Drosophila melanogaster: one gene and its partners. The protein of the gene in region 4 interacts with the protein of the main gene of each other region in a pairwise test. Each region holds a gene or a part of one and is shown on either strand. Other genes may lie near its edges. The genes, in order: ergic53, CG43658, santa-maria and CG2076.

The links.
Region 1: the proteins of CG2076 (region 4) and ergic53 interact in a two-hybrid assay, tested with the Drosophila melanogaster proteins (one large-scale study listed by BioGRID).
Region 2: the proteins of CG2076 (region 4) and CG43658 interact in a two-hybrid assay, tested with the Drosophila melanogaster proteins (one large-scale study listed by BioGRID).
Region 3: the proteins of CG2076 (region 4) and santa-maria interact in a two-hybrid assay, tested with the Drosophila melanogaster proteins (one large-scale study listed by BioGRID).

Annotation. Positions count from the first base shown.
Region 1 is NT_037436.4:8,533,069-8,538,534, reverse strand, and holds ergic53 (ergic53), read right to left. Parts: upstream 3,559-5,466; 5' UTR 3,530-3,558; coding exon 3,349-3,529; intron 3,162-3,348; coding exon 2,443-3,161; intron 2,368-2,442; coding exon 1,892-2,367; intron 1,645-1,891; coding exon 1,519-1,644; intron 1,454-1,518; coding exon 1,417-1,453; 3' UTR 522-1,416; downstream 1-521. Other genes in the region: foi (fear-of-intimacy), read right to left, coding at 5,430-5,466.
Region 2 is NC_004354.4:17,558,176-17,562,802, forward strand, and holds the start of CG43658 (uncharacterized protein), read right to left. Parts: upstream 3,006-4,627; 5' UTR 2,654-3,005; intron 1-2,653.
Region 3 is NT_033779.5:7,445,197-7,452,770, forward strand, and holds santa-maria (scavenger receptor acting in neural tissue and majority of rhodopsin is absent), read right to left. Parts: upstream 6,049-7,574; 5' UTR 5,753-6,048; exon of another isoform or gene 2,492-5,752; 5' UTR 2,452-2,491; coding exon 2,311-2,451; intron 2,106-2,310; coding exon 1,800-2,105; intron 1,740-1,799; coding exon 1,220-1,739; intron 1,158-1,219; coding exon 433-1,157; 3' UTR 159-432; downstream 1-158. Other genes in the region: Gr28a (gustatory receptor 28a), read right to left, coding at 7,345-7,464, 7,524-7,574.
Region 4 is NC_004354.4:11,088,384-11,092,645, reverse strand, and holds CG2076 (uncharacterized protein), read right to left. Parts: upstream 2,437-4,262; 5' UTR 2,068-2,436; coding exon 1,848-2,067; exon of another isoform or gene 1,781-1,847; coding exon 1,669-1,780; exon of another isoform or gene 1,596-1,668; coding exon 1,454-1,595; exon of another isoform or gene 1,356-1,453; coding exon 1,019-1,355; exon of another isoform or gene 922-1,018; coding exon 789-921; exon of another isoform or gene 726-788; coding exon 644-725; 3' UTR 548-643; downstream 1-547. Other genes in the region: vago, read right to left, coding at 2,659-2,920, 2,987-3,125, 3,194-3,275.

The DNA of each region.
Region 1 (5,466 bases), on a different chromosome or scaffold from region 4:
CTCCTGCGCAGTGAAAGTATATAGGAAACGGAGCACATAGGCGAAGCTACCATCCAACCGCACACCAGAACTGTGTAACCCATTCCCCGATCCCGTAGAGAATTTATTGCATGGGCCGCGACTGCCGTTGGCTTCTGTCCATCTATCTTTGGCTGTGCTTTTCCTGGGATTTTCCCCAATGCGATGGAATGGGTACTCAGACCACAGAGGACCTGCCCACAATGCCACCATTGGCAGTTACATTTTATGGCCAAAGTTCACCAGAACCCAACTCGTTCCCCAGCCCCACGCATTCTGGCGACCAAGTGGCGCCATTTTTGCCGCATTGTCATCGATGGGAGGATGAAGATGGGGATGGGCAACTGACAGGGATTCTAGTTTATGCTTGCGAGGACTTTTCAAGAAATAAACTTTTTCCTCTGTCGACATCAGCGAAAATAATATCGCATTCGGAAAAGTATAAAAATAAAATGAGGACGCAGATTAAAACTATCAAGTTGAACAGTTGGAGATAGATTTTTCTATAAATTGATTTTTATTTTCACTTTAAACATTTCTATCGAGACTGGAATGGACAACATATATAAAAACACACTTCACTTCAATTGTTTTATAATTTATCAGTATGTATATTAAGATTATTCAGTAGAAAACTTCCTTACATCGCACCAGTGACGATGCGAACCGAACAAAAACTTAGTGAGACAGTTCATCATAATTATTAAATTAATTCACTTTCTGGCGTAATAACAAAAATGCTGGCTAACTAGCTTTGTTGACCATTTGGCGCATGAAAATGGGAAAAAAGATTTATGTTGCCAATTCAGTTTCAAGAGCCGAGCCTGATGGATTCATCTCAACTCTAAAGTATACAAGATATTACAAAAATTTGCTACGTTTACGGAATTTTCGTACTTATATAGATTTTGCCATTTTTATTTTTATTTTTTTTTAGATAGATTTTCTTGTGCTTCTTATAAATGCCTGCACACATGATATGCAGAGTTGAGAATGGAGTGAAACTTTCGACTTGACTTGCTAAAACAAATATGAAACATCTTCTGTTGGCTATTACTAAGGGAAGTTTGTCTTGTGGCTTCTTCGACGGTTTCTTCGTTTTGTATTGCGTGGCATTGTCATGAGGCATACATCATTGATCAAATTTCTTGTTCTTGCTTTGATTAAGTAACGACTTGAGTTTGTATTCGTGACCTGACTTCTTAAACAGACTTCTATTTAAAAAACAAACAGTTACACATAATGGTAGAGCATGCTACGCTGAAGTCTTAAATCTTTCATTTTAACTAAATTTAGTTGCTGCCTAGTCAGGTGTGCGAATCTGTTTCCTCGTGATTTCTGTGGGTGTATGCTTGTGTGTTTGTTATTCGTTACGATCCCAATAAGTCGCGAATTCGCCTAATAGAACTTTTTCGCCTGTGCTTCGCTGCGGTTTCTGCAAGGAATAATAAGTTAGATTGTTTAGTTTCGAATCCACGCTTAAAGATTCCATGAACTCACTTGAAGACGTTGTAGATGAAGACTAGCAGCAGTTGCACAACAGTTACGCTTAGGAACAATGTGACTCCAACGCAATTGCCCGTGGGACAATTGGCCACCTGCGCTGCTCCCTGTGGCGCTGCCAATCTGCAAGGTAAGGGAATGCATATTGAGTATCAAGGAGGTACTTAAAAGATGACAATAAAGTATAATAGTCTAAAACTCATAAACATGTTCCTCTGAATCAAACTTGTTAAAACTCTAATTTCATAATGTGGAATACGAAAAATTAGTATAAATATGGCTGAAAAGGTTAAAATTAATTCGAGCTCAGAATAACTTCGATGACAACAGCTTTAGGAAACTTAAAATAGACTTTGAGCGTATTCCTCACCTTTGGCCCACGTGGGTGATGCCCTGCTTGACCTGATTCATGCCATCGCGCATCTCGGCGATGAGCGTTTGTACATCATAGCCGGTGGATTGGATTTGTGCTGTGGGCGCATGCTTCTGATTCGTTTGAATGTTATCAGTGCGCACATTGATATCGCCAACCAGTTGACGAATCTCGCGGATGGAACTGAGCAGCATGTTCTGATTAGTGAGCAGAAGATCTACATCGCTCCTGCTGACTGCGCCAACGGGCAGCTGTTGCTGTGGCACTCCGCCGGCGGCGGGCGGAGGCAGAGCCTGTCCAGCATTACGTGAGACCAGCGACAGCGTGGTCTCCTGGCGGCCAATAATCTCATCCACTTTGCGGGAAAGTTCGCGTAGGTGATCGGCAATTTGGCTCTGACCCTGCCAGATCTGACGCAGCTCACGCTGGTTCTCCGACTCGTAGAACTCCTCCCAGTCCTCCTCGTCTTTGTGCTGTGGGATTATACGAAAGTTGATTATCAAAACTAGCGATAAGACATCTTTATCAGCTGGCTGCGTGGCAATTACCTCGTCGGGATGGTCCTTCTTGTACTCCTGCTTCTGTTTCTCCAGTTTATCTTGGTATTCCTTGTACTCTTGCGTAAGCTTCTCCTGGTTTTCCACCTTGGGCTGCTCCTGAACTTGTCCAGCGGCATGCAACGACGTGGTCAGGAAATGGAACACATCGTGGTCATCGGCCAGACCGCCCGTGGCGGCGGAAATGCCAAAGTAGCCGTTCTTGGGCAGATTGACGCCATCCGCTCTCAGACACAGCTCGTAGTCATCGTTGTTGTTGGACATTCCGTTGTGGATCATGACGGTAAGCACGTTGTTGTAGTACTCGATTCGCGCCCGTGTAGGGAAGGGCTTGTTACGGAAATCCCTGAGGCAACCGCTCAGGAGCTGAGTGGTTCCATCTTCGGCATGGTCATACAGCTTGGTGCCATCATTGAGCACGGCACTGATGTAAGGATTGTTGTGCTTGTTGTCATTATCGAAGGAATCGAACATGATGGCCAGACCATTCCAGCGGTCCGAGGATCCGAACACAGGCCCATTGTAGTCACCCTTTTCCGTGGTGTACCAGAAGGCCAATCCATCGGCTCCGATCCTGCCACGTCCCGTCACCCGGAACACGATCTCCACGTCCCACCAGTCGAAGTTCGTCTGTGACTTTGTCCAGATGGCACCCTTCTGTGAGCGCAGCGATGGCGCCACGCGCACACTTTCCGAACTGGCGATGGCATCTGAAATGAGGAGCAACAAGTTGTGGCTATAGAAACACCCGAAACCGTGGTCAAAACGACATCCAAACAAAGTGCCTGCGTGTACACTTGGCCGCCTCGCGCCATCTCGCTCGCACCCATGGCCGCAGACCAGCAGCGAGTGGGCCAAAACAACTGACGTGGAGCTGCGTCTTCCACTCGTACTCACTTCCCCCGTACTCCCAAAACGGCACGGTGCCGTCTTTCTGTGCCAAATACGGCGGCTTGAACGAGTACTTGTACTCGAAGCGACGGTGCACGCCCACGGCTCCAGGACTCAGATTGCCGGTCGCCTCGGAGCTGGGATTCCACGCCAGGAAGCACAAAATGGCCAGGAATGTGGGCCGCATCTTTGCAATTATATGTTGACAACTAGTGGTGGGTGGGCGACGATGGTGCAAACTGATGATATCGATAACCAGCCGGCACCGATAGGCGGTGGTATCGCACTGGATGTTCTAAAAGCATTGTATAATTTAAAATCAAATATTATTTTATGTATTGTCTACCATTAACAATTAAGGTAATATAATATAAATTGATTAGAACATTTATTTAGGCCATCCTTCGTATATAAATGTTGAACTTAAATAAAACCAGCCATCCTATAACAATTAACTTCAGCTTAGATCACAATTTAAAATTCTATAAGATAAAAGTTTTTCCATGCATTCTAAGAAACAAGAACCAAGTGATCTAAAAAATATTCAGGCAGCGACAATACAATCGCTATCGATTTCGGTAGATTTTATATCGATATCGCAAATGCCCACCAAATTCAAAAGATCTTGTTATCACTTTATGATGTTGAGGTGGAAAAACATTTATTTTGAAAATTTAAAGTGTTTACGTCCCGTTAGAAAATAAACATAAATATAGCAAAATACGCGCCATTCGCATGTGCTTACATAGATACATGTTTATCAATACGTTATTGTAAAATTATTTCGTTAGTTGTTTCAATTGCCTTTTGCGTGATATCACCAAAGTAGTATTACATCCATATCTCCAAAATTCCTTTAGCACAGTTAGCACAGTGTGTGTATATATGTTTACATCTTTATTCTTTGTTTCTGATTTCCTACCGTTTGTAGTTTTCGTAGAGCTTACAGCTAGAATTATTATAGGTTTTAATGCCTCGGTAGCACATAGTGTGGGCTTCATAAAATATTGTTAGTTGCTCAGTTTACACAAGTGATAGCTTTGTGTGCAGATCGGTGTGTGGGGGATAGTCATTAGGGGCGATCGTGCCGCAAGTTTCGCCATTTTACAAATGTTAGTTACTTATTTTGAATCACAATCACTTTCGTGTTAGTTCTGTGCGCGATCAAAAGAAAAACTCAAATCGATTAAAACAAAATCAAAGTCTTTGTTTTAGCTTGATTTATTACAAAATTATAATTAAACGAAGGCGCTACAGTGTAGCGAAAATCTAAATTATGCATGATGGTGCAATATAATAATCTTTTCAATTTATTACAAATACGATAATAAATTAAGCTTAAATGGGTTTTGTGTACATTTCCCGAAAGAGGAAATATGCGTTCAAGTCGTTAAGTACTGTAGAAAATCATAACAGCGGTGGACATACCTTTATTTTGGGTTTAGAATGTTAAACTCGCATAAAGTAAACGTGCGCACTCTAGACTACAAAATACAAAAAGTATATGTATGTATACATATCCTACAATATATATGTATATTTATATATAATATATCGTAATTTTTAGGTTCTCTTTCGTGTATAAGATCAGTAATTAGAGGATTGTGGGATCCAGATCCAATCCATTTTTTGTTACTTCCTTTTCTCATTTGACAGCATCACGGCATGCTTTTCAAATGTTTTCATCTAAATTCAAGATCACTTTATAACCTAGCCAATTTCAAGACATCTTACATTAAATTGGGTGTGAAATGGATTCGAACGCAGTTCAATAGCAAAATTAGGAACGAAAATAAAACGAGTTTGATGAATTGCGTCGCTTGTGTGTGGGTGTGAGGTTGTGTGTTTCATAAACTGGATAACAAATGCGTTTGATAAGCGCCAACCGGCTGTGTCTGTGGTTCTGTTTTGTCTAACTCTGTGAACTAATAATGTAAACAACAATGTAATGAAATTATACAAAAAATAATAATTCAAGAGGTTCTATAGGCTTGGCGGAAAAAATGCAGTTAATACACAAGATTCGCTGCAATTCACATAATACGCTACAAGATTCGCTGCGGTTGGTTACAATTTCACTTATGTTATTAGTGCGCGTGCTGGTGTGATGCGGCTCCCGCTGTG
Region 2 (4,627 bases), 6.5 Mb from region 4:
TTTTATTATATATTAAGGTAGCAATTTAGCCTTGTACATCCTTCTCTATTTTATTACAACATTTTGTAACAGCAATCACATGCAATTAACTTTACTATTTAACAGATTATTGGAGCACATATAGCAAATTCATATTTTAAAAACATTTTGATGCATTAAAAAGCTTTCATGTACTTTTTATGATGCTTATATAACTTATAAGCTCTACCAAATGAGTCAGATCCATTATAAAAAGGGGTAAAAAGGCGAAGAAAAAAATCAATTAAGCCCTGATATTTGATATTATTTTTCCTCTGCGCTCTGTGGGACTATCTTATAAATCGCCGTTGCCATTCTGATGCGTTCGGCTTTGTATTTTATGCTGCTCCTCGAGTTCAGAATTTTCTATTTGGCGATTTGGATGGATGGTTGAGGTGGGGGAGGGGGGGGGCGCGTTCGGGGGGAAGGCAAACAGCTTTAGACACTTTAACACATTCCTCTGGGAATGAATACTCCGTGGAAGGAGCCACTACACACTCGCACACTCACACAGCCAGACATTTTAGTGGGCCTTCAGCATCGACATCGAAAAGTCTCGGACTTCGACTTGGACGGGGATAAAAAGGTGCACTGATAAAAAAGCATGGGAACTTCATGCCGAGTCTGGTTTTCGAGAAGCACATCCTCATTTTCATTAATTCATTTATCATGACTTTAATAGTTAGGTAATACTGATTAGGAAATCTTTTAGGCTTGCAGTCCACGTTGTGACGAAGCGCACCAAGATAGTTAAATCTACCGTGATGGTCTGATCACATTAAACCAAATGTTTTATATATCTCTTATTTCGTAATTAGTTTTTTCTTGCAGTGCCCGAAGGTAAGAGAAACATTTAGACGACTTTCCAAGACCGGTTCTTTTGGCTCTATGAACTCGCCTTCGTCCGCCTCGTACTAACTAGAACTTGTGGCCAAAATAAAAGGCAAACATAAAGCAGCAGCAGCTAGGCTAACAAAAAAAAAAAAACACAAAAAAAAGGCAAAACAGGGAAATGGTCAGCTAGTTGGCCAGTAGCACTTGGCCAACGGCCCTGTCCTTCTGCACCTTTCCGTTTGGACGGATTTATTTTAGTTAATAAGCGAAATCAGCGGAGGGCTGCTCAAATTGTTTGCATTTTTCGGTTGCTTAAAAGGTCCTTACATTCGTCAAGTAATGTACAAAAAATGTAATGAACTGGTATTCAAAGAACTTTGTTTTTTTTTTTGTAATACTTTTTCCCCTAATTCAATTTAACATTCTTTACTGCGTGTCACACACACATTTTTGACATTTATCGGTTAATATATCTAAGATTATAATATACAACTTTCCTTTCTATTCGTTTATGTTTCTTTGTGAAATGTAACAGGAAGAGTCAACCAAAGGGGCACTTTTTTCTTCATTCAGTTTGATGATTGGCCACACTTCTGAAATTCCTGAATTCATTTTTTAACAGCACCCTGCTGAAACTGCCAAAACATTTCGACAGTCCAGAATTCGTACATTTTTTGTTTCGGTAGCTTGATTTTTAGTTTGTTTACTTTTTGCTACCTTTTTGCGTGGCGGTTGTGTCTTTTGATGATCGATCAGCTTTTGGAAGCAATCAGGGAGCCAGGAAATCAGAGGACTCGTCACTTTCCACCACCATGTTGGCCAACTAATTAGATTCGCTCTGAATTCCCGGCTAATTGAAAGGTGAGCAGCGCGCTTGAACTTTTGGCACTTGCCAACTTTTAAGCTGTGCCAAAATGCTAGAAAAACTTAACGCTTTGAGATGGAAACTTCTAGCAAAGTACAACAAAAAGTAAAAAAAAAAATGGACAAAGTAATAAATTGTACAAACAAATAAACAAACAGTAAATCTTATCTGAAGGTTTATTAACGTATTTCGACAAAAACTAAATTATTTCCATGCTTTAAAAGTTTGGTTTTAAAGCTCTTTATAAAGCAACAACCAAATGCCGGCGATGAAATTTCGATTTCTGTGGCGTATAAAAACTGCAAGTTATTCATCTTAATTAAAAGGGATCCTAATGGCCAAGGACCAAACAAAGGATACAGCTAAGGGCGACGCGACAACATTTCGAGCCAATTGCTTGTGAGACAAAAGAGCCAAGTTATTGTTGTTAATATAAATGTATGTAGTGAGTCTGCTAAAAAGGGGAAACCTGCTCTCACCCAAAAATTGACAACTCTGAAATTTATTTGTATTTTAAGAAAGTGTCTAAAAAGAGATGTTCAGAAAATATAATATGTGAAAACTTTATATCGCGATTTAAGCCCTAAAGTTACAACTTAATATACATAAAATAAATTCACGTAATATTTTTCTTTTTTTTTCGGTCAAGTATATGATTTTCGATTTTTTGAAATTTCATGCCAATTATTGTTTAAAAAACACAGACAACGCTTCCAGTTCTAAGGAAAAAAATATTCAATTTTGGTGCACTACAAATACTTTTTCTGCCACTTTTATAACCCTTATTTAACTAATTTGCGAAATACTTTTCCATTCAAGTGCTAATGTTTTGGCGGCTTTTTCGTTTTGCGGTTTTCGCAGGTGGCGGCAGCTGCCACGTGACCGCAAATGTCCTGCGGCAAACGCATCCTTAGCTACTTAAAAAGCTGCACTTACGTTTTCAGCAACGATCGGTTGACAACGGCGCCGCAAATTCAATGAACTCGAAACTAGTTTGGCACATAAACAAAAATCGCAAAAAAAAAGAAGTGTAACGAAATTAAAGGAAAACCGCACACACACGCACACACAAAATGAAAATATAATATTTCACACTACTTCATTTTTTTCGTGGCTCTTTCTAAAAACTGGTAAGAATTGCTGGCCACCAGGTTGTGGTTACTGTTGTTTCTGATCGCGACTTAAAAACGACGCTCTTCGCAGGATTAGCGCTCTCTTCGAAGAGAGCCCCAGCAGAAGTTTAAGGAGAGGAGACGTCCTCGCGCGAGCAGCACCAAAATCCAACTGCGGCCGAATCCCACGGACGCAGCGACGTCCCCACGTCGACGACGCCGGCAGTGCCGCAAATGCAGTTTGCTCGCCACAGGCACGGAAAAAGAATTAATGCCCAAATGGCTTAGAGCTTGTTTTAAGTTAATGATTGAATGGAAGCGACGTTTATTGTGAACTTAGTATTGCTAAAAAGTAAGTGTAAGTAAGTAAGTAATTTAATTTAACAATGCACATCACAAACCATAAAATTGGTTTCAATCTTTGAAATAGCTTAAACATTATTTTATCAAAAAAACATAATTAGTATACATATTTTTTTAAGAACTTTGGTATTTTGAAAACATTTAATAGCTGCGCAGTTGTAGCTGCTATTGCTTTGACTGCTGCTGTGGACCTGAGCTAGTGTGCGAATGGAGTGCAGAAGGAAAGGAACAAGAACTGCCAGATGAAACAAAAACAAAAAACAGCTAAAGCAGCAACAACAACATGCTGATGCAGTGGAGCTGTAGTTGTATTTGTAGTAGGAGTTGGAGCTGGAATTGGAGTTTGGAGTTCCAATCAGACGAAAAGCAACTAGCGACGCGCGCGCTCTTTTCCGCTCTCTCACACACTCTCTCGTTTTCGGCACACTACTCTCGCTCTCCTTTTGCATTACGTATACGCCAAACAACGCAAAACTTAAACCGGCATTTTGTTAGGCGCACGTTTTGAGCCTCTACGAAGAGTGGGATCGAAGAAGGGAAGCGAGGGAGAGAGCAGAAAATGCTTCAGAACAGGTGCGGATCACTTTCAAAACGGTGCAGGGTATAGTTTATATTGTAGTTTACCTAATGCCCGAAAAAGTAGGCAATGTTTTATGGGAATACGGTTACCTGATTAATTTTGTTAGTTCATCAATCTAAGCCGATCTATTAGTTTTGTTACAAAAAAAATTAAGTCTGCTTGGTTCATAACTGCGATGATACGGAAAAAAAGTTTATACTTTTCTGTTTTCTCGAAATGATGGTCTAACTAATACTGAGTTAGAAAATCTTCGTTGGTTGTCATATATGCAGCCAACCAACTGAATCCGCTCCTGGCAACTTAGCATTTTCGCGCGTGCAGCAGGCAGTGCAACAACAGCAACCCCAGCGCCGGAGAAGAGTGCATCGGTTAGTGTGTGCGTGTAGGTGTGTGTGTGAGCTGCAGCTGGCAGCGAGCTTCCTACTTTATTACTGGTTTCCAACTTAATAAAATATGTGGAGCGCTTGATTTACTCTCAACAAGGATACGCAAGGGTTAAGAAAAGCAATGGCAGGCAGAAGAGGGTTAAAAAGAGATAAGCCAAAGAGAGCGACTTTCTTCGCCAGCTGTTTCGCCGAGCTTCTCCCGTTGCCTTTTGTTTTTGCCGCGCATTCGCCGGCTGGGATCTCTCTTTCCCTTTCTCACACTCTCTTCTGTTTCGGTGCCCCTCTCCCACCGTCTGGCCTCTCACTCATACGCCAGCTGTTGCTCCTTTAAGCGCCAGCGTACCGGAATGCACTTAAAAAAAGTGTGGCCTTGAACGTCTAAAAGCATTACAAATTTACTCATATATAACTTAAATGAATAATTAATATATAAAAATAAAGAACGTATAAGAATAATTAAAAATGGTTC
Region 3 (7,574 bases), on a different chromosome or scaffold from region 4:
ATACCATATATACTATATATTTTGTATAATTGTTATTGAACTAATAAAGATGAAAAAAATGTTGTTAAAATTCAAAACAAACGTTGTGAGCTGTAATGAAATAAAAATAGTTATGTGCAATCTTACCCACTTAACCTACTAAAATGATAATTTCCTTTGTAGTTGAAGATTTTATTTGACACGAAAGCCATGGGTCAAGAAATCATTTTAATACAAAACATATCTAATAACTAAGGAATGTAAAAAGAGTATTCGTTAGCTAAGCGAAGTCCACCAGACGTTTCGACTTCGAAGGCTATCTAATCTTTGGCATAGGCACGGGAATGCTTGCAATTTTCAGTTGGGTGTTTTAGAGTGTCACTAAACTATGAGCTACGACTAAAGCACTAGGACGGCTTAACTATCTAAATGGCGTGAATGTGGCGGTTCTGTTCAATCCTGCTTATTGTCGCTGATGGCTGTGGATGCAGTGGCCACACTTTCACCCGTCTGGGATTTAATAATGGTTGGCTTACGGCCTTTTTCGAGGAGCGGAGAACTGTCCGGAGATCCTTTGACACTCTTTTCGCACACCAAAGTGGAGGCCTTGGACTTCAGTTCCTCAGCACTGGAGAATTGAGAGCGACTCTTATACTGGCCATTCGTTTTGGTTTTGGTCCTCAGATCGTATCTACGATTTCGACAGGAAGCCAATAGAATCTGAACCGGAGTCCAGCAGAGTAGAGTTATGCCTACGATCAAGCAAATTCCGGCGAATATATGTCCGGAGAGCATGACAATGGGCAGCACCTTCAGTTGATCTGCCATATCTGGAGTGATTCTTACTTTCTGTTCGAACCATACGAGTGGGAAAAATATCCTTGGTATTCCAGTGTATAAGCTAATGCCTTGGATTGGCTCCACGAGCATATTCACTTGAAATCGGGCAGCCACCTCCAGGGGAATACCAGTACTTGGCTGCACAACCATATAAAACTCGTGATCCTTCTGGTTAGGACTCAAGCCCTCTACCTGATCTGGGTAGTAAGGATCGGCGTTGAAAAAGTGTGGATAGGACATAAAAACAGGAGATCCAAAGCGACAGGAACTGATGTTCATCACACCCGACGGAACACATTGGCCACCACAAAAACAAAGGTTCTCAGGATACTGGGTGCCTGAAATATAAATCTCTAATAGAATGGGTACTCACAATTAATCAATTCTTATCAAGACTCACCATTATCTACAGATCGTGGTCCGCCTGAGAATTTATAACCTTCCAGTCCTTCAATATCCACAGTTTCCACATAATCCAGCGGAATAGTTCGGCACATATCGGGCGTAAATAGACCAACACTATCGCCGGGCTTCAGATGCTGTGGCTGGAACTCCCCGGCGGATCCATTGGTCATACCGCAATAGGAATCAAAGAATCCAGTGTTCTCCTGGTAATTCCACGAGTGCATCTGACCCAGTTTGGCCAGTTGATCGGCGCCAGTGAAGACATTAAAAACTCCGGTAAGATCGGCACTTCCATTGCGCGTATAGAACCAACCGAACTTATCGAATGGAACCTTCACCTCATCACCAAAAATGGGCATGGCCATGGCCACGTCGATCATTGCGTCATTGTAACCGGTGAAGAGCAGCTCATCGATCGATTTTTGGACAGACATCTCGGCACCGTACATCTTTAGTCCCACATCGACAAGGGAGCGCTTAACTGGTGGCCAATATTTGGCTGTGGCGGCTGCAGACTGAAATGGAAATGTATAGTTATAGTTATATTATGTAATAAAAGGGAATAGGATACTTACCAGAGCCACTGCATTAAGCGTGGTAATCTCATCGTCCAGGCTGCCATTACTGCCCGCCGCATCAAAGTAGAACAAGCTGCGCCTGCGATAAGTGACGGATGCATTTTCTGGATGCCAGTGAATGTCCACCTTATCGGGTCGCTCGATAAAACGATAAGGACCCACCTGCTCCAGAATGGGCTTTGTGGAAAGGTTGCCGAAATCCTCCGGATTCGTCCAGTTGTACAGGTAGATGTCCAGACTGAGATCAATTGGCGGACTCTTCCAATTTTCATAGACACGTGTGTCGGGGGCCAGAGCCATTTCCTGTCGAAGAACAGAAGCCGCAATTGGTATTAATTGAAAATCTCAACGAGTTTTCCTCGATCTTTGACTCGCGCCAATTGAGAGGCGGCTGTTTTTCTTTTGACTTTCAATTGGCTTTAGCCACTAATCGAATGCAGCTGGCCGGGCTAACACTGGAGTGAAGTGAAATGAACTTAACTGAACCTCTGTCAATGACTGGGATTACCTTGTGCATGATCCAATCGAACAGGTCCACCCAGAACATGCCGCACAATATGCCAAATAGTCCCAGGCAAAAGCCGAAAATGCCGATAATTAATTTGCGATTACTTTTTTGGCCCCACATTGCGCTGTTTTGTGTTGGCATGGCTCACGCTGGGCGATGGTGTGTGGATACCTAATGGTGGCTGTAATGATATGCAAGTCATTGAAACATCAATGAAAATGGATAAATTGATAGTCTATTTGCCAACATATAAAAATGGATCAAATGAAAGAACTCATAAATGTAGTGCAAGTTGAGAATGTACTGATAAGTTTTCTATTATAAAATCATTATGAACAAATCATAATACAATAATTTAAAATATAACTTTACACAATATTATTTTGTGAACTCATGTTCATGTTGCCTACTTTCAGGCAGTGCTAGTTAAAGAATAAAAAAAATGTAGAATCAAATCTCTTATTAACAGATGCATCAAGTCACATATTAATATAAGTATGGCGAACAAAGAAATCAACAAAGAATTGAATACAAATAAAATGCAAAAAGCGCAGCATTTTATTGAGTGACGAATTCCCATAGCGTCTATTTTTATCAATATAATTGAATCAATTTAAGCAAAGCGTGACTTTCAATTGCTGTTTACACTCATGTAGAATATACTAAGTCCGGTAAGTATATGTGTACATATATACAGAACTATAGTCGAATCCCCTATCAGTGGTGATAATTACAAAGCTTCCCCCGACACTCAACGATGATGTGTTTTAATTAGTTATGATAGTTTGAAGCTGCATTGCAAGCAATACGTGTAATTATCCATTTCGTTTACGAATAACATGCATGAATGTGGATAAAATATTTTATGATCGCATTCGGTAGGCGAATTTTCCTATATGGGGCATTCACTGTGGTCCGATAAGCGGATTCTGAACTCTTAGGTAAACAGACCCATGAGGAAGCCACAGACAATTGAGGAAATTGAACTGCACTGCACTTATCGCTTATCGGGAATCCATCCTCTGGCAATTATTTGACCAATCTGCCCAGAGTTCCCATCACCAAACACTATGTATCACTTGAGCATAAATATTGCATATGTACGTACATATGCCACAGGTTCGCATCTCTGTGATATATCGTCATAATTGAGTCTATCAATTGACCCCGCAGTGAGCTATGGTTGGGTCTTTGACACTTTGCGTTATTGCACATGAATACGAGTAGGAATCTATATATATATATACACATATATACATATATATATGCTTATTTGGGAGCGTGTCAGTTGTGTTCTGGTTGGTGTCTGGTAAATTGATATGATTATGTCTTTTGAATGATGAATAGCTGTCGAGCATTTGTCGGCGCCTTTTTATTGTCTTCACAATTAATCTGAAGTGAGTTTTAATTGAAATGGACGTTGGACAGGTGCATCACGTAGAGTTCATCCCGCATTTTTCGCTTAATTCAATTAGATCAAGAGCAATACCGCACATAACGAGGATAGATTTTGAATGGAAATCTAAGAGATTTTAGCAGGAATATCTCTTTTTGTGAGAAAATATTTATAGCAAGATACGTTTTTTTTTCAGTGCAGTTCTTTGATATTCGCTCTTGAAGCTCGAAGCCGCAACACTGAATAATTGCGTTTAATTAAGCTTAAATTTTAGTGACCGGTATATTTGATTCATTATTAAATTAGGCATGCTCTTGTCATACTCTCTGGTTCTTGATCTTCTATATTAACATTTTTATGAATGCTCCGAACGCTTTATTCATATTCTATGCAAATGCACCGAGAACACTGAACTCTGAAGTGATGCCACATCGAAAGTGAATGCATTCTGAAACATTCTAGCAAGAATTATCTGCCTTTTTGGCGTTAACTTCCTGAGTGCAAGTGCACTTGATATGAAACGGAAATTCTAAGTACTAAGTCAGACGCAGTAAACCCGATACTTTAAGATCGTCTACTGGATGTGAGACAAGTCAACACCTTCTCAGTTTTTCCTGATGTTTTTCAACCCCATTTAACCACAAAGGCTGCCATTGAGATAAACCGCAACTTACAGATTTGACGCAGTTCGCAAATTCACATATGCTTGGGCGAGTATTTTTTGATAACGAGCTATCGGCATGTAATTGAGTTTTCGCAGCCTTCAAGTACGAAAATACACACGACGATTTAAAAAAAAGCCAACAACTATAAATAAAGAGCGAAAGGCTAAACCGTAAATAGGCTTGGTACTTTTAAAGGTCCCTGAACTGCAGAAAGTTATTTTGTTTCTTTTTAATGAACTTTAAATCAAAAAATTTCTTTAAATGCCACTTTTACGTAGCCAAGATTTCAGTATTAACTAAAGTTGTTTAAGCCCTTTGAGATTTTAATTAATTCATTGTGAATTGATTAATTGATTTGACTTTAATTGTCCAGCATGAGTTGAATTCTTAAACGAAACTTTAATGAACATGCTATTAGGGGCTAGTTTCGATTATCTTGAACTATATTTAAACGGGTCCCATGAGTAATTTGCCAACGAACAGCTGTATTTATTGAGGATTCGCCAATCTGGGCATTGATTATTCAATTAGCGAATAGCTGGAAAATGAATGTGAAGTTTCTTTGGCTCTTTATTGCATACAATAAAGAAAATTTAAATAAATATTTTAATTTGCAATTTTTAAGACATTCGTTGGTTTTCTATTAGAGTATTTACATTATTTGTTTTTCAGATATTTATTATCTTATAAAGGCACACGCAACTGCAATTAGTTGGGAGCAAGTTGATATTTAATTATCTTGAACTTTAAATGGTTAACAGGTCGCATACGCAATGTGTTTTGTACACCACTGTTTTGTTTTTTATTTATATACCAAATAAGATCAGCTGCCGTTCTTTTGCAGAAAATTCCAAAACATATACTAGATTTTTTTATTTTTTCATTATAATTTATCATCGCCCAATTTCGTTTTATGTAAAAATACAAGCTACAAAACATAATTCGTCAACGGGGCGCATGCTTAATATTTTCCTGAGCAGCTGTTTTCCCTGGGACTAATTTTAGACCATTAATCGCACAATCAACAGGTCGCCTCGTAGTCCAAGCTGGAAGCCCTTTGTTTTGCATTCCGGCACTCTTATTTCTTCAAAAGGGAGACGACACACAAAGCCAGTATAAACACAAAAAGAATGTATAATATAGATTGCCACTGTACATACATATATATTTGGTTTTCTGTCTGGCGACTATTTTTCATTCTTGTCGAGTTAATTTCATTTAATGACCTGTAATCTTAATAAGTCTGCCGGCGATTAAGCCAAATCAAGCCAAAACGTAATGTGTTAACAAAGCAGGAAGCGCTAAGAAATTACGTGATATTGCGAAAGGAGTTTTCTTTTGTCTTTCCAAATTTCCTTTATTTTCTTTTAAAGGCACTCACTTGACTTTTATTTGCTAAATAGAAACAAATCACAGGCTCCTCGGTTTTTTTTTTACGTTTTGATTTTCCTTGCGAGGAAATTGAAATTCGATAAGGATGTGGACAGAACGCTTGAGCACGTGGATGATTTCTTTGCACAGAGGCCGGAAAAGTGGACACGAGTCCCTGGGAAATGCCGTAAAATGGTACCGCTTCGCCCGGCGGCTTCGATGCGACTGTGCGGCGGACTCTCAGCGAACGGACCGCGAGCAGAGCGGAGCGGTCTCGGCGGCCGATGAATGTCAGTCAAGTGCGGCACATGGAAATGGAAATGTATATGGAATTGGGCTTGAGAAGAGCTCCGAGTATCCGAGCAACGGTGTGTATGTGTGTGTGCGAGTGGGTGTTTGGGTTAATTTGCGCTTTGGGCTTTTCATAGTTGTGCCATTGAATTTTGAATTAAACAATATACAATCTGAAACGCGAGTACGACTTTAAAACTGTAGAATGCATCCAAGGGAAGAAGTAGTCAGAAACAACAGTGTCACCATCTTTATATAAATTTTTGGAAATAATCTAAATTGAACCATTTGCTTTGTTAAATACGTTTACAAATATTTTAGTTTCTTATATATATATTTTTTAAATATTTACATCTAATAAATATCAAATGATATAAAAATGAAATGAATGAACTGAAAGAGTCAACATATTTTCTATTGTTCAGTCGAATAGCAAATATAACTGGGTCACATTTCAAAAAATCACAATCAGCGAAAGAAATTCCTATGCACTTAGATTTCATAAAACTGCGAATTTTCGCATACGAATCGGGTGGCTTGTGGAAAAGTAAACAAATCGTAAAGTAGAAATCCGAATTGATAACAAATTGTCGAAGCCTTATCAATGCGGCTAATCGTGATGATTAGCACTGGGTGAACAGCGAACATTCACGACTAACCCCACACACTTGTAAGCTGCGAAAATCGACAAGCGATCAGAGCAAAGTTTCAACTGTTTTTTTGTTTTATTTCGCTATCATAGGGGCACAACTCCCCAGCAAATGGCATAGAAAACACCCATGGATTGCAGTCTGAGGCAATAAAACAATAAAATGTCATTGCTTCAGTGCGTATTCAGGCTGGCTTCCTTATTGGATTAGTCTTTTGCCTCCTTTCACATGGCGTGCTAACTGGGATTAGCTATCAGTTGTGGCCAAAAGTCAGTTACCGCTGCAGATTATGTTGCAATGTTGTGAAGTGGAGCAAGCAGAAGTGGGTCAAGCCAGCCCTTAGCTTCGAAATGGGTCTCGGCCAGCATTATCCATTTGAATTCATTAGTGAAATTCAAGCAGCTCATGTCAGCCAGCAACACAGTCAGTGACGTAGCAACCAGCTTGTTGTTGTCGATTGGCTTACGTTACGTGAATACGTAACGTACTGATTAAGTGCAATTGAAATGTTTACTTGCTTTAAATATTATATCATAACTTAAAAAATACGGATAAAAAATGTAATTTACTGCGAGCTGGAAAACTTTAATTTATTTTTCATCTGTACGTTAGGACACTTTATGTTTAAATTTAATTGATTAATGTGTATATATAATTTTAATCAATCGCCGAGATGAATGGAATGTAAATTATTTGTTGAATTGGAGCTGGTGTCGTCCATGTGATGTGTGAATCGAAACTGAATTAGGATAATGAGGTAGCACGTGGCAGCACCAGTAATCTGCAAAAATTAACCACTTAAATAAATAAAATATTTAATTATTTTCAACATTAGTTCACCGTAAAAATCAGTGTGCGATCCAGACGAAAAAGTCCTGCGGCTGTGAAAAG
Region 4 (4,262 bases):
TGGGTGTTTTTCTCACAGCCACCTAAAATCCGGAATCTTGGCGCTTCTGCGGGAGAACTTATTTTCGAACTGTCGACCGGCTCGACTCGAAATATTTAAACAATTCTTGACAGGAATGCTTAGGTCCTGTCGAAAAAAGCTGAATGAAACATCGATTGCATATCGATACATCCCTAGAGCCCAATTTCACTTTGCCATCGGTTTTTGAATTAAAAAAAAAAAAACAGAGCTTCTGTACGACCAATAACAAATATTGCACGAGGTAAATTTCTAACTAATTAGGTAATACGGCAAACGATCCGTAATAAAAGTAATTAAGCTATCGATAACAACGAACCCAACTGCTATAAATATCGGTTAAAAGCTAGCTACATTTATCGCTATCAAGCTTAAAATTGACTAACATTTTAAATTGATCTTAAAAAATGCTTTCTTTTTAGAGATTGTATATAATATATGGACAATATATTATTTAATTTCTAGGTCTGGAGTGTATTAAGACACTAATTGAAATTAGCCAAATTGAAACACAAAGTTCGTACATTTTGCTTCCTAACTCGATCGGTTTATTTTAATAACAGTATAAATATGTATGTATATTTTAGAGGGTATAATCCTCGCATCACATGTTCGTCTCCAGTGCTCACTTCCTGCGCTGACCACCACTCAGAATGGTAACGATGCGGATGAATATGTTCAGCACGTCCATGTAGATCGACATTGAGCTAAAAGATAGAACCAAAAAGTATAGAGTTTCAGAGCACGGTATGGATGAGGAGTGAACTTACGCGTTGATTGGATCGTAGGGAGTGTAGCTGTACTGGGGATAGACCTCAGCGCGACGGACCATGCGCTGAGTGTCATAGAGCAGGAAGCCACTGAAGAGGACGAGGCCGCCATATAGGGACATGGAGGCCAGACCTGCGAAAAGAGAGTTGAATGGGTTAACTCCGCTTGACAATTCATAAAATATAATGCGAAGTGGTGCTAGCCCCAGTGGAACTTTCTGGCAACTCACCTGCGCCCAGCGCCGTGGTGGGCGGCAGCCACATGGATGCCAGCGAGGAGGCGAACACCACGCCCAAGCCAATGGCCAGTGGGCCGCCCATGTAGAGGAACTTATCGCTGGGTGCACACGCGGCGATCGTGGACAAGCCACCAACAATGCCGCCCGTGTAGAGAGCGGCGCGCGTCAAAATCGGTCCGCCCATGAAGCAAATGGGTGCGATCACGGCGCCCAGAATGGCGCAGTGCACCGCCCAGGCCAGATGCTTGGCTCCCAGACCCGGCTGGTACTCAATCGAGCGGGCAACTGCTCCACTACCAATGACCAGCGCCAGCGAAGCAATGGTCGCCTAAGCGATTAAAGGCAAATGAAGAGGAAGTGTTATGTTCTGTTGTGTCTGTTGGTCAGGTAGGCGGCAAGAACTACGAATTGTGCAAGAGGACTCACCAAGATGCCGCCACGCGAGGCCAGCTCCAGGAGACGGTGCGAACGGAAGGTGGCTGCTGCTGCGGCCGCGGTGAGAACGCAAGAGCCACCGAAAAAGGCATAGGTGCTCTGGATACGATCGCGCACAAACTGGGGCCACATGCTAAACGGAAAATATAATCTCAGTTATTAAAGTCCCTGTATTTCGCAAGTGAGAGACTCGTGCTATCACTCACATGGCATTATCCGCGATGCTGGTTTGTTTTCCCAATCCCACGCCGTAGTAGCACAGGGCGCCCAATCCCACGGCGGCTGCTCCGGCGGCAGCGCCCTTGCCCATGGAGTATGCTGCACGCCAGAAGAGTACAATTAGACGACCGATATACATAGATGGGGGATTACACAAGAGACTTACCATTGGCACTTGGCGGACCCATCAGTTTCTCCTTCAGCGAGGGAGCACGCATCTCTTCGACGGGCTCACGGGTGCGAACCACCCTGCGGGCGTAGGTGCGCACCGTGGAGAGATTCAGATTGGGATTGGCATTGGCCCGGAACAGCTGGGCCGGAGACTGGGCCAGGATCTTGATAGCCCCGGCTGGACGGGCGGTGGAAAGTGCTAGACGCAGCAACATTGTGTTGTTGTGGTGAAATTCGGTTAGAGGGCAATTGGTTGTCCTTCGGTAAGTGCTGCTTGATTCGGATTCCTATGTGGGGCACTAGCGTTTCTTCCAACTGATTTTAATTGCTCACTGCGGCTTTATAATTTGTTGATTCGTAGAAATTGTTAAATATTTTACTGTCTCTTGTGCTTTATTATCGATAAGTGGTGCAATCGTTATTCGATGTCTGGCTACGTGATAACTAAATGCCTATCGCAGACGGCCACAAATACCGCTAATATCGATATTATGCTAAAATATAATATTGAAAATCCCGAGAAAATAAATAGAAATATAAACTCAACGATCCTGAAGTAAGGAATTCAAATCGTAGCCCGTTGTCTGAGATAATTTATTTGATAAGCTAAGCAATGCTATCGATAGGGCGCCAAGTTTGAATAGCGAGTACAGTGGAAAAAATACACTTCTTTAGACAAAAAAAATGTGAAATTTAAATTTATTTAACATATTCAAGTATTCCGCAATAAACTCCATTTGTATTTGTACACATTAGATCTGCACTAAAGACTAAGTAGTCCTAGGAACAGAGTACCAGTTCACTTCTCACACCTGATACTTCCTCGCCGACGCCGTGTGAATCTCGCCACGAGGGGGTGTCCGCCCGTCGATCACTATCATCTCAGTGAGATGGGATGATCGCAGAGTACCATAGTGGTCATATATGTTGGTCTGCTCCAGAGTTCCCCCCGAATTCGACTCGTAGCTCTTGCACTCATACAGTGGGCAGCATCGGGGATATTCGGCATGCGGGTTCGTCGATGGAACTGGCGTGCAATTGCCCTGCGTCAGTTTCGGCACCTGGCAGCTGGACCATGGATGAGTACGATGATCTGTTACCCGATGCTATGGCATACTAGTACGGCACGCTTACCTATCCTCCCAGAGTTGCAGCGTTTCCAGGCATTGGATGCGGACGCACTGATCCTCTCGCGTGAAGACTTCACCGATATAAAGCTGCCGACCCGTCAATGTATCCATACAGTACTGCTGATTGTACAGATACGCCGAGGCTATAGGGTGAAAGGGAAAATCAACGTATATTACTGGAAAATATATGTGTTATTTGGAAAAATCGTACGTCGATAAGGAATCGCTTGGCTGCCACCGATGATCAATGACATCATGGCCACTAAATAAATCATGCTGCTAATTGACTCCATTTGTGAAAATTTGCTATTCGAAAGAACTGAGATCGGCGGACAGAATTTGGCCCGACGTTTGCAAAGTTTAGCGCACAACTGAAGTCCGTTCGGTTAATCTTCGTTCATTTTTATATTAAAAAACCTAGAGTACATTGTTTATTTGTATGGAATCACACACTTACGACATTTGCGCGCTTTCTCTACAATAAATTTAACAAATTTTACTCGGATCTGTTGAATGTTTATGCGTACGAGCCTGCGAACAGTGCGTTTCATAGGTGTTAAAACAAATGTTTATGATATTGAAATAGATCTCAATACCGTTGAAAAATTCCCTTGCTTTGCCAAAAATAGATTCAATCATACAAATTTAGCTATATTTTCAGTTGATGAGCAACATCATTTACATCTTCAGACTCTTACGCCTTATAAAGCCATCAACTTTCAGTTTATATTACTAAGTGAATTTCTGTTAATTATTGGATTGACAGTTTCGGAACGCAACTTACGATGCTCTGCTTATCGCGCTACAAAATAAAATGGAAGGAAAACGATTAATAGCAATATGCAAAAAGAAACAAATATCGATCCATATTTTGTGTATTGTATATAAGTCCGTCTGACCTGCCTAATCAGCATAATAATATATACCTATATTCGCATGATTGAATCCACAAATATAGAAAGTACTTTCATTGGCATAATTCAATTAATAATAATGATAATTATATCACAAATAGAGCAAAATGTATGCAGAAATTAATAGAATACATCGATTTACTGCTAGAAAATGCAGATTTTATTAAAAATTGTATTTAAGTCGACTGTCTCAGTAATTGTTTGCTTCTGATTTTGAATTGGTTGTACCCATTCTCTTGACCGTTGATGTATAAAATTGTATAAACATTTGAGTTGAGATGCAAAGAATTGTTTACGTTTCGATGTTTTGGTTCGCGCCGGACGATCATGATCATCCAATGCCACCAAGTCCATTATGCAGACAGT